3 linked regions of the Coturnix japonica genome follow. The protein of the gene in region 3 purifies or fractionates together with the protein of the main gene of each other region. This does not show direct contact. Links are inferred from orthologs where the notes say so. Each region holds a gene or a part of one and is shown on either strand. Other genes may lie near its edges.

Region 1 (4,028 bases), on a different chromosome or scaffold from region 3:
AGGCAGGACCCACCCGTGTGGCACCCCTAGGGACAAGCTGGACACCTGCCCCCCATCTGCACAGGGTACCCAGAGGGGTCCAGGCATGGCCCAGCTTGTCCCACTGTGCCCCTCAGTGCTGTCCCCAAGTCTTTGGGGTGTTGGAGACTTGCAGGGGACCCAGAGCAGCTCCCAAAGGAGACACAGCAGGAGGGAGCAGATTTGTCCAGGGAGGGGGCTGGCAGCAGGGACCCCCATCCCTGGGCACAGCAGGGTGCTCTCTATGGGTTCTCTCTATGGGTGCTCTCTATGGGTGCTGGGGTGTCCCTATGTGCCCATTCTGGGGGCTCACGATGCTGACATGCACTGTGACAGGGGGTCCCCCCCAACAGAGGGGCAGAGCAGGGGACAAACATCAGGGGAGCAGAGCATCCCTCCAAGCACATCCACAGCTCCACGAAGGGGGGGGGGGTTCCTTCTCAGGGCTGGCATGGCTGATCCATGCAGTGTAGAACCCCCAGCAGTGTATGGCCACCATGGGACCCCATCCCCACGCGGTGCCACCGCGGTGCCCGTGTCCCATCCCAGGTGGGGCCACCCACCCGCCGCTGACTCAGAGCCAGAATATAGGCCGTGCTGCTATAAATAACCCAGCGAGGCACAAAGCAATTTCTGTTCCTCCAGCCGGGGGGATACGAGCATCAGAGAAAGCCCTGAATTAACGGCATGGCCTCATCGCCCTCCGTGCCATGGCTGGCAATGGGTGGGGGGACCCCAAATCCCACAGCTGTCCCCATATGGGGACAAGGAGGGGGATGAGCAGCTCCTGCTGCTGCCATGAGGCACTTCCCCTTCCTCCACTTCCTGAAATGGTCCCCATGCTGAGCACAGCGGGGTGGGCATCAACCTTCCCTGCTCCGGAGGGAGTCCCAGCACTGACAGCACATGGGGACCAGGGCTGGGCTGGTGGAACCTGGCAGCAAATGAGGCCTGGATGAATATTATGGGCTTCCACCCCCAAAACGTGTGGTTTTGGGGCACTGGGTTGGCAGTGTGTGCCATCCCCATCCTCCACGTGTCACCAACACAACAGCTCACAGCCCCAAGGTCTCCACCCCATACCGTGTCCCTTTCCCCTCCCCACGTGGCCATGTGTCCCCAGCAGTGGGTGCTCACTATTGGGGTACAATGGCACATTGCAGACGCTCTGCCCTTCTCCACTCTGTGCCATCAGCGCTGCATGGAGGCTGCCCAAGCTTGGGCCATGGCCAATGGGGCAGGAGGTTGCCCACCTCTATGTCTTCCAACCCCATCGCTGGATGATTGAGGACCCCCAAACCTCCCCTCTTCTCCCTTCTTTGGGCCCCCCAAAGCACCCCGGCGGGACTCACCTGGATGGGCGCCGTGCTGAACTGGATCTTGCGGTTGGGGACGGGCTCCTCTTCCTCGGACAGCCCAGGGATCTCCATGCAGCTGGATTCAGGCTCATACAGCCCATCCGCCTCCTCATCCTCATCCAACCCGCTGCCCCCCGAGTCCTCCCCGAGCCCACTGTAGGCACTTATGTCCACCAGGTCCGCCTCGGAGAAGTCCTCCTTCTTGGACTCATCATACAGCTCGCTCTCCTCCACCCTCTCACCCTTTCCTCCCTCCTTGGTGTCGGGGGGCTCCTCGCCCCCATCCAGGCACGGTTCGGGGGCCACCAGCCCTTCGGCCCCTTTGGCCACTTCACTTACAGCCGTGGGCTCCTTCACCTCCACCTCCGCCTCCGACTCTCCACTCTCCTCCACCTCCACGGGTTTGATCTTGCAGACCTCCTGCACCCGCGGGACGCTCCCATCCTTCTCCCCCGACCTCGGGGCTTTGCCCATCACTTTCTCCTCCTCTGCAGGTCGTGGCCGTGTGGTCCCAGCGCTTCCTTCTGCACCGCCATCAGCTTTGCCACCATCTCCTTGCAAGAAGACGCGGGACCTTTTGCTCACCAGCTTGGAGTTGAGCGGCCCCGTGCGCCCCGGGGTCTTATGCAGGTTGTTCCTCAGGTCAGCCTTCTCAAACACAGCGCTCAGCTGGCTGACAGTGGGCGACACGGCCTCGGTGTCCAGCTTATCCAAAGACTCAGTGCTGCCATTGAACTTCACCACCACGTCCAGCTTACGGTCCTGGAAGCCGGCGCGTTCTTTGCGCAGCAGCAGTTTGGTGGTGGTCTCCTTCTCCTGCGGGCTCCTCTCGAAGATCTTCCTTGTCTCCTGCAGCTTGGAGAAGGGTTTGTCGGGCTTGGAGTCGAAGCGACTCACCCTCTCGGACACGCTGGTGCCCAGCTTTAGGGTGCTGCCCTGCTCCATGCCATCGCTCAGGCTGCCGGTGCGGGGCAGGGACAGTCGGACCGGCTTCTCCTTGCCCTTGGCCAAGTCGCACGCTCCCTCGGGGCCCGGCGCCGTCCCCATCTGCAGGAACATGTTCTTGATGCGATGGACGTTGGAGCCATACTTCTTGCTGCGGGCTTTCTTGCCGTCCTCACCCTCGGCATCCTTTGTGGGTTTCAGGGCCTGGATGGTCGCCTCGTACGCGTTGCGGTGCGGGGATGCGCTCCTCAACCCCCCGCTGCCCGCCCCGCCGCCCGGGGTCCCCCCGCTGCCCCCCGGGGCTGCGGCCCCGCTCGCTGCCTCCGTCCTCAGCATCCTGCCCCGAAACCTCCGTCACCGCCGAGCCGCATCGCCCGCCGCCCGCTGGGCACGGGGAGGGGGCCGTGCTGGGGGGCTGCGGGGACCCGGTCAGGCCATCGTCAGCCTGGGGGGGCCCAGCGCGCCCCCCCCCCCCTATCCTCCACCCCGGCCCTCCTTCCTTCCTTCCTCCTTTCTCCTCCTCCTCTTCCCCTTTCTCTCTCTGCGCTGCTGATGAGCGCTGCCGCCCGCGATCCGCCCGCCCCGCTGCCCGCAGAGCCCTCTGGGTCTTAGCGACGCTCTCTTGCTCTTCCTCTTCCTCACCGCTAAAGCTTCGGGCTCTGCTGGATGATGCCCCCCCCAGCTCTATGTGTGTCCCCCCACCCACCCACAGAACGCTGCTGCCACCGCCGCCCCCTCCCCTCAGCCCCCCTCCATCCCCTGCACATGGTTGGGGCCGCGTTTCCCCCCCTTCCCTGGCACTGTGCATTGTCCCTACAGCCCAGCTCTGTCCCCATATCTATCCCCCCTCCCCATAGCCCCCCCCACCCCGGGTTTGCTCCCCCTCTGTCCCCTATGACAGCCCTTGGGACCCCCAGCCCTGCCCCTCTGCATCCTCACTTCCATCCCACAGCCCCACGATGGTCCCTGGGTCCCCCCACTTCTGGCCAGTTGCCCCCCACCTTTATACACCCCCGTATCCCCATGACCACCCCCCCCCCATCCCTTAGTCCTCCAGTGTTTGTTCCCTGTGCCCCATCCATATCCTCCCTGTGTATAACCCATATCCCCCATTCTTACCCCCATGCCCCCCTCCCGTCCCTGTGTCCCCATGTCCCCCCTCTCCACCTTTTAGCCTCTGCCCGCCCCCCCCCATATTTGCCCACACATTCCTTGCTCTGATCCCTTTGATCCCCCACGTAGCCAGAACTCCCCCAGCCCCTGTTTCTATGATGCCCCCATAGGATCCCCATTGACTTTCTGTCCCCATCAACCCACCCCTCTCCCCTCCCCACTGCCAACCCACCCACCCACACCTTGACCAGGAGGTCAACCTGGAGGGGGGGGGGGGTATATTTTAGGGGTGTTATTGGGGTCCCACTCCCCTCCCAGAGCATACAGACCCCACAGGGACCAGAGCACACAGCACAGCACCACTTTAGGGCTCTTCAATGACCAAAACAACCACACATTATACACCCTGGTTTCCAATATGGGGGCACCATCCCTTCCTCCCCCCCCTCCCCATCAACCACAGCCCCCCACACAGTGCAGATACGGGCAGCAGGACCCAGCAGCGGCTGCAGCACCCGACAGCCCTTTGTGCGTGACGTGGCGTGACGCAGAGCAGAGCGACAGCCCCCCCTGCCCCCCCTTCCCCTTCCGCTG
Region 2 (4,269 bases), on a different chromosome or scaffold from region 3:
CTTCTGCAAATCTATTTTTGACATGTGACAAATTGAAATGCTAAGTCTTGAGTGAGGGGCATAACTGATGTAAACACGTACATGGAATGCGTTAGACTTCTGCTGTGTGTATTGTCTTTTGGTTGAAACAAATTATGAAGTGACTAATAAAATGAGTCAATATTCCATGATTTAAAACTGCGCCTTGTTGCTTTGTGCAAGTACAATGGAACAGCCTTTGTCAGCTTTTGATGGGCCGTGCCAGAGTCAAGTGATATGAAATCATCAAGGGCGGAGTTTGAAAAGCTTTCAGGAAATTTTGGAGAGTGAAATGGACAGTTAAAAACCCTTAAAAAGGTCAGGTCAAATACTGCCCTGAACGAGCTGCTGCCAGCAGGACCAGGTGCTACGCAGGTATGATCTGAGCGGATGCTGTTTTCCCCCAGTGGCTGCAGGCGCAGTCGGTTGTGGTTCCCTTACTGACCTAAAATGTCTCTTTTGTGCTGTGTGTGCCACTGAGACGAGGATTGTTCCAGTCTCACCCATTAAAGCAACGTGTAGTTGCCTGCTGTAAGATTCCTGGGTTTTCTAGTCCCAGGAACAGTTCCTTAGACACCATGTTTTCCAATACAATCCCAGTTTTCCCCTGCACAGCACGGGCGTGTGCTGGGAACATGTGGAACCTTAATGCTAAGCCCGATTGTCAGTCAGCTCCTCGTTAAGGAGCAGAGCTCCCCACGGCCTCTGCCTGAGAATTCAGAGCCGTGTGTTGGTGCAGCGGTGCACGATGTGGCTGCGGGCAGGTGCTGCGGAGCAGGACGGGCCACAGAGGGACGTCCTGGTGCTGAGCCCGGTATCCCATCTTGGAACAGGTCCTGACTGCAGAGATGCTGTGCTGAGCTGCAACACGCTGAGATCAACCAGGAGCGAGGTGGGAAATTTCTGAAGGTTCTGTGGAATAGAAGTAAGTGCTTAACACAGAAATAATACCAGTGTGAGGGTTTGGAAAGCAGCTCATTTAGAAACGAGACCGGGAATTAGCAAGTAAGGAGCGGGCTGCGGCCACAGCGGCTGCGTGAAGTCCAGAACCGCTGCGGGGCGGGCACGAGGCTGCGGCTTTGAGGTGGCTGCGGTGCTGGTACCGACTGCCGACAGCGGCTCACGGAGCCCAGCGGGACAAGGCGCTGTTTGGAGCGGCCGCGTGCAGGAATGAAGGAAGCTCAGGGTCACAGCCCCGCAGTACGGGACGGCGCTTCCCTCCGCGCGGTGTCACCCCGCGTTACGCAGCCGCGCTGTGAGCGCTGCGCCGATGACAGCGGGTACGTAGGGGCTCGGGCGGCCTCGTGCCCGCGGTCCGTGCGGCGCTCAGCACCGACTAATAACTGCGCCGGGAGCGCGTCCATCCAGCGCTGCGCACGACTCCATCACTGCACCCGCTCCCCGTCCCGCTCCTCCCGCTGCTGCCGCTGCCGACACCGCGGGGCGGAAGTTTCGGCGCTTCCGGGGCGGGGCGCGCGGCGCCGTGGCGGCAGGAGCCGCTGCCGGAGGTTTGTGAGTGTGACCGGCCATGGGGGAGGCCGGGCCGGGGCACAAGGACGCGCCGGATCCCGAGGAGGATGAAGCGGCGGCGGTCGGAGCGCGGGGCGGCCGGGCCGGGCCTCGCGGCGTCGTCCGGGTGCTGAAGGTGAGGAGGAGCAGGAGGAGCAGGAGGTGGGGGGGGGCCCGGGTCGAGCGGGGCCGTTCCGGGCCGAGTCTCCGCGCCGGCCCTTCCCGGCAGCTCGGCGTGCGGGGCGGCCGCGTGCGCTGCGTCCGGGTGGTGCCCGGTGATGCCCGATGATCCCCGGTGATACCCGGTGATACCCGGTGGTGCCCGCCTCGACCTTGGCCGGGGCCGCTCCGTGCCGGCTCCGTGCCCGCCGGCTCTGGCCGTGCTCCCGCAGCCCCTCCACGCCCGGCCGTACCCGGGGCCCATCGCGCAGCTCGGCCGGGGCGGCGGGTGCCGCTGCAGGGCTGGCTGCTGACGCGCCGGTTTTGGCCTCGCAGAGAAACGTGAAGCGCAACGGGAGCAGGAGCTGCTTGAACAGGAGCCGGTTCAGCTCCCGCGAGCGGGACTGGCTGAGAGAGGATGTCGGCCGGGGCTGCGTGTACGTCTATGGAGGAGATTCTGCAGCTTCGTCTGACCTGCGCCTGGTGCTCTGTACGGTGGATACCCCGGCAGCTGAGATCTGTGACGGGGAAGAGAGGAAAAACCTCTTCGTGCAGCTCCACGGAGACCTGGTCAGGTGAGGGCCGGCGTTCACGCTGAGCGAGATTTGCTGTAGTTGTGTAGCGCTTTCTGCCTGCCTGCACGCATTAGTGTGCAGATGCAGAACAGAGAGAGGCAGTAGGTGTCAGCTGGATGCGGCCTTCAGTCACCTAATGAGAACAAAGTAGCGGTGAGCTGTTTGTACGTAGTCAAGGCGCAGCTGGGAGGGTTTGGTGGCTGCTCCAACTAGAAATACAGCCTCGCTTTGTAAGTAATTCTCCTTCGTTGTGTTGTTTTAGGGATGCTGTAGTCTTGAGAAAATGTGAACAGTTTGTGGGGCTGTCAGCAGTTATTCCGAGTCCACGCGGCCTCTGAAGTACTTTGACAGTTATGTCACAGTATTTTTGTATTGGTAATTTTTTGGTGAATTTCTGAGGTAAATAATTAAAGTTAAGCATGGGGTGCAGTAGATGTTAGAGGGCGTGGGCGCTGTGTCACAGGTTTTATGTCTGCAGTCAATTAAGGCTGGAAACAAACCTCAGCTCAGAGTTTGAGGTTCATGGACTTTATGCTGAGTGTATTATGGGCTCCTCTAGCTTTACGTGCTCTCATTAGGTCGTTGTAGTGATGCTTCAGGATTTCACATTTGATTATGAAGTTGTGGCTCCAGTTCCTAGGAAAAAGGGCATCGCTGTGGTCTTTTTTTTCAGAAGCATGAGCTGAATAGCAGTAATAGCTTTTTAATAGTGAAATGTAAGTCTTAAATTTAATGTGTCTCAAGTTTAAAAGGGTATAGCATAGGTTCAATTGGGTTGAAGGCAGGAGCACTAATGGCGAGAGATATGAAGAACAGGACGGGGAAAGGAGGCCTGCAAAAGAACTGGCGAGGGACGGAGAGAGTATTGATGGGACACTGGGTAATGGCTTCAAACTAGAAGAAGGCAGCTTTAGGTTGCAGAGAAGGAATTCTCTACTCAGAGGGTGGTGAAGCGTTGCCACGTGCTGCCTGGAGAAGCTGTGGATGCTGTCACATCCCTGGAGGTGTTCGAGGCCGTGGATGGGGCCCTGAGCAACCTGAGATATGGTGGAAGGCAGGAAGATTTGAACTGGGTGATCGTTAAGGTAGTATCATCATTCATTTGTGGCAGTCTTTGCAGAGTTAGCAGATTTGCCCTGCTGCCCATGTTCTGGAATGAGTACCAAGCTGTAAACATTTACTTTATGTGCTTTGAAAGCGGAGGGTTTGGACTCGATGATCTCTTGAGGTCTCTTCCAATCTTTGCAATTCTGTGATTTACTCCTTCAATTCATTGCCTCCTGCTCTTAATCAAGAGCATAAAATTCTGTTGAATTTTATGGAGAGCTCTTGATCCTTGTGCATCTGTTGCCTTTGTAATTCTTGGGGTGTCTTTGCCACAGAAGAGATTCCTGAATCACCACTGAGGATGTTCTCAGTAGAACCATTTAGGTTAGAAAAGACCTTTAAGATCATCAGGTCCAGTCATCCACCTAACACTGTAAGTGCATTGTTAAACTACATTCCTAATCACCATATCCACATTTGTTTCTTAGATACCTGCAGAGATGGTATCTCCACCACCTCCCTGGGCAGCCTGTTCTGATGTCTATCCGTGGTATTGCTTCAGATCCATCTCTGTTAGGAACAGGAAGCAATCGCAAACAGTGCCTGCTTCCGTATCCACAGGAAGGTGACAGAATGCTCAAGACATCCCTACGCCCTCTTGAGATAATCATTTCATTGAAAAAAAGTTTACTGACTGCTTTAATAATGTGTTTGTGACTACAAATTACTCAGTGAAGCATCCGATTGTATCTTACCCTTGATATGTTTGTTTCTCAAACGAATTCCCCACCCTTCTAAATACCAGTAGGTGGTTTTCTTTCTAAACCTGAGCATGGCAAAAGTTGATCCGGTACCTGACTCAGAAGACTGAACACAGTGGGACACTGGAGCAGGTTGCCCAGAGATGTTGTGGATGCCCCTCCCTGGGAGCGCTCAAAGCCGGGCTGGATGGGGCTGTGAG
Region 3 (4,290 bases):
ATACTAAATGCAAGCTGTTCACCTCTTTACAAGCATTGTTTATATGTTGAGAGAACTGAGAAAATGAGAGTAAGTGTCTTGTTTCAGGGTTAATAAGTCTCTGATAGACTGAAGAGCAAATGGTAAATGCTGCTATCAGTTCATTCTTGATGGACTCTCTAAATCCCACTCCCAAACCTAATGACATCCTGAAGTCAGAGAGGACTCCATAGTATTATTGTTATTTGGTTTTAGATTGGAGCAATACTCAGTACAGAAATACAGTAACTATTAGGAAATATAGTATCAATACAATGAATACAGAGTATATATTCAAGTATGTGTACACAAACACATTGAATAATAGATACAACAGGTTACATTTCATCACATTTCAAACAAGGCAACCAAGAGCACATTGCACCTTGGCTCACTGCATCTATTCACAAAGCCAGCATCAAACACAAAGATGATGACAGACCCCACGTTGTGATATTGCCATTTGATGGTCCAGAAAGGGCAAGATGGGCTATAAGATACTTTAATAATGACCAATGCTTTTTACATTAATGTTGTTGTAGCATTTATAAACTCCTGTAACAAATAGCAACGCTTCACTGCAGTAAACACTGTCTAAATATTACAGAATCACAGAATGACCCAGGTAGGAAGGGACCTCAAGTATCATGTAGTTCCAACCCCCCTGCCTGGCAGGGCCACCAAACATACACACTTACTAGATCAGGTTGCCCAGGGCCCCGTCCAACCTGGCCTTGAACACCTCCAAGGACGGGGCATCCACAACCTCCCTGGGCAGCCTGTTCCAGGGCCTAACCACTCTCCCAGTGAAGAACTTCCCCCTAACATCCAACCTAAATCTTCCCTCTTTTAACTTAAAACCATTTCCCCTAGTCCTGCTATTATCAGCCCTTTCGAAGAGTTTACTCCCCTCCTGGGTGTAAGTTCCCTTCAGGTATTGAAAGGCTGCAATGAGGTCACCCCGCAACCTTCTCTTCTCTAGGCTGAACAAACCCAACTCCCTCAGCCTGTCCTCATAGGGAATATTACAGAGATAAACCCTCATTATAAAGAATTTATGAGACTTAGTATCTTAAACGGATCAGGACTAGCCATTTCAGTGACTAAGAGCACCAGAGATATAGGTAATACCAACAAAAACATGTTGAAGAATGCACACCAGCTGAAAAATGGCCTCATCTTGAATTAATTCACAGTACCACATCTGAAAGCCGTAGCACAAAGCCAACTGATTCCCATCACACAGTGATGTTTACTACTCCCAAACCCACACATCTCCATTCCACCCCTAGTGAAGGGGACCTTACTATTGGAACACTGACACAATTCACATGAGTGCCTCACGTTTAATTATACTTCTTACCTTTATGCTCAGAATTCACTTTAAGGTCTGAAACTCCTATCCTGATTAAACCCTTATGCAATATACAATTATATGCAGAAGCATCCTACACAGTTTTGAATGGTTCTACTGACCAGTAAAACAGGTGCAACAGAGACAACAACAGCTCAAACTTGCATAAATATTAACCAGCTCCCATGTCTTGTAAAGAATCAGGATCCTCCACAACTGATGGGCATTCTTCTACAGAGTCTTCCCCTTGCACTATAGATTTTGGAGAAATCTCTATTAATTGATGCAGAAACATATTAAATGCTCAGCCATCAGGAAGCAAAATAAACTGTTAATGGTTTTTACTTTCTACCAACAGCTGATGGATGCAAGAGCCACTGAGAAGTCCATTATTTGGCCAAAACCCTGAATTTAACCAAGTAAGTGAAGTAATAGGACTACAATAAAATACCTACTTTGTACTTAATACTTTGTATGTGCTTATAATATAATCAAAGTTATTCTCTGTTGATCACTTAGTGTACACTGGCTGAAGCCTGGATCATCACAGCAGGATAAGGAGAAGCAAAAAGCATCAAGTAACACAGTGACAACAGATCACCAAATAAATAAATACAAAATCTCCTTCCTTGGGAGGCCAATCTTCAAGAACTTGCATACGGTGCAGACGATGCAAAAGGGCACAGGAATTCTTTATGCAGCACTGACCAAGTGCTTCTTTGACTATAAGAACTGCTATAAGCTATAAACATTTCCTCTATGGGACAGAATAGAAAAGGTGCCTTAAGACACAGCACCCATCTCTGTTTGGAAGGATGCTGAGACTATTGCAAGCTAAATCGGTATATATATAAATATAATGGTTAAAAACAGCTGAAACTTGCACTTACCACCAGAGGTACACATAAAACATACATTTTGCTATGGGAAAGGAGTAAAGCTATTAAAGGTGCTGATACTATCCCAAAACATCACAATACATCTATTTTCCTGACTTTTACCATTCACTATCACAGCCTGACTGTTCTGCGGCCTTGCATTCAGAACAGCAGCCCGGAGCCGGGCGGGTGGCTCAATGTAGCTCAGTATCGTTTCCCTTAAGCCGATGAAGCCGTTTCCCTTCTCTCCTTTAGCCAGTCCTCGTAGTTTCCAGAGCCTCCCACACGGAGCAACGCAGAGACCCCTCCCCAGCAACCACCGCCCCCCTCCCATAGCCCAGCCATCCCCGACCGTCCTCCTGAGGGCGGCCTACACGTATGTAGCCCACCCCAAAGCCCTGCTGCTCCTCACAGCCGAACCCCGCCGTGCACCCACCTGCACTTTCCGCCGCCCCGCCGTGTTCTGCCGGTGATGCGCCGCCATCTTGCATGTTGACACTGTGATGTCACTTCCGAGGAGTGACGTTCCGGAAGTCCCACCCCCACTCTCAGCCCCCAAAGCCCTTATAAAGCAGAAACAAGATGGCTGACGTTCATTGAGGCGTTGCTAGGCAACTGACAAGGGGGCTGGGCCAGAGCTCCCTCTCAGTAATAGCCCCAGTAATGGCGGCTCGCCATTTTATGTATTGGAGTTGCCACGATTCAAGTACAGTACCTTGCACTTGGCCACGTTGAACCTCATTAGGTTTACATGGGCCCATTTTTCAAGCCTGTCCAGGTTTCCTCTGGATGAAAGCCATTTTATATGAGTGTACTGGTGAGGCTTCATCTGGAATATTGTGTCCAGTTCTGGGCTCCCCAGTACAAAAAAAGACAGGGATCTCTTGGAAAGAGTCCAGCGGAGGGCTACTAAGATTGTGAAGGGCCTGGAGCATCTCCCCTATGAGGAGAGACTTAGGGAACTGGGTCTGTTTAGCCTTGAGAAAAGAAGGCTGTGCATAGGGATATTACCTTGGGGGGTTTGCTTTGGTATTGATTATTTCATTTACTTCAAAACAGTAATGGTGACTGGACGAGGTGATTGGTGAAATGCACAGTAGATCAATAATCCTAGCGAGAAACATTTTTACAGTGACAAAAAATGGGTAAAGAAATAAGTAAAAAATATATAGTCACATATTCACATTCCTGCTGATTGCAGCCATGCTCACTGGCTACTCATTAATGCTAATATAAGCTTATTTTGATAAGAATTGCGTTTTCCAGCATTGCTGACTGCAGTGTCTTCCCTGCAATTGCAAGCAGATGGTATTGTTCTTAAAAGACATCTGCCTTGGCCAAAACTCTTCCTTAGCAGCCATATTTTCACTATTTTCTGTTATTACAACAGTGCAGAGCATATGATTTAAAGCATCTAGGACAGGTATCACAAAGTTGCATTGCTTAACTCATTACATTTTTTTTTTAAGATAAAATTAAAGCTTTTTTTTTCACCACTCCCCCCTCCACACCTCAGATATTTATAGACCTGAATCTGGTCCCCTCTCAGTCTTCTTTTCTCAGGGCTAAACAGACCAAGTTCACTCAGCCTTTCTTCATAGGGGAGATGCTCCAGGCCCTTCACCATCTATGTGGTCCTCCGCTGTTTCTTCCTCTCTGCATGTCAACTGATTATATGTGGATAGTCCCTGCTATGCAGTGTTTCTTAAATCCTCTGACCAACAGCTCATTACTGAAAGGAGAACAAAAACATGCACGGTGCTCGTAGAACCTTTGAAGTTGGGAGAGACCTCTAGAGATTGTGTAGTCCATCAGAGGTTGTCTTTGCTGGAACACAAGAAGCATCATGTTGGCACAGGCTATAAGTTGCTGGTTTCTATGTGTCTGAGCTGCACTTTCAGCTTGTCATTCATTCTCATTCATCACAGACATGAAGCAAGGCTGGGCTGATACGGAGTCATGTGGACAAACTGCACACACACACACAGAAATATGGTAGATAAGGTTTTCTATGTGATGCACTGAATCTTTTAGCTTTTC

Evidence for each region.
Region 1: the proteins of WDR48 (region 3) and PPP1R9B purify together in Homo sapiens (affinity purification with mass spectrometry; 3 studies listed by BioGRID and IntAct, with this or other methods). This does not show direct contact. The link is inferred for Coturnix japonica from reciprocal best matches to the Homo sapiens genes WDR48 and PPP1R9B.
Region 2: the proteins of WDR48 (region 3) and PHLPP2 purify together in Homo sapiens (affinity purification with mass spectrometry; 5 studies listed by BioGRID and IntAct, with this or other methods). This does not show direct contact. The link is inferred for Coturnix japonica from reciprocal best matches to the Homo sapiens genes WDR48 and PHLPP2.

The regions. Positions count from the first base shown.
Region 1 is NC_029542.1:2,576,123-2,580,150, reverse strand, and holds the start of PPP1R9B (neurabin-2), read right to left. Parts: upstream 2,801-4,028; 5' UTR 2,658-2,800; coding exon 1,371-2,657; intron 1-1,370. UniProt on the Homo sapiens protein: Seems to act as a scaffold protein in multiple signaling pathways. Modulates excitatory synaptic transmission and dendritic spine morphology. Binds to actin filaments (F-actin) and shows cross-linking activity. Binds along the sides of the F-actin.
Region 2 is NC_029526.1:17,690,115-17,694,383, forward strand, and holds the start of PHLPP2 (PH domain leucine-rich repeat-containing protein phosphatase 2), read left to right. Parts: upstream 1-1,469; 5' UTR 1,470-1,546; coding exon 1,547-1,663; intron 1,664-2,022; coding exon 2,023-2,261; intron 2,262-4,269. UniProt on the Homo sapiens protein: Protein phosphatase involved in regulation of Akt and PKC signaling.
Region 3 is NC_029517.1:4,674,374-4,678,663, forward strand, and holds the start of WDR48 (WD repeat-containing protein 48), read right to left. Parts: upstream 2,801-4,290; 5' UTR 2,735-2,800; coding exon 2,687-2,734; intron 1-2,686. UniProt on the Homo sapiens protein: Regulator of deubiquitinating complexes, which acts as a strong activator of USP1, USP12 and USP46. Enhances the USP1-mediated deubiquitination of FANCD2; USP1 being almost inactive by itself.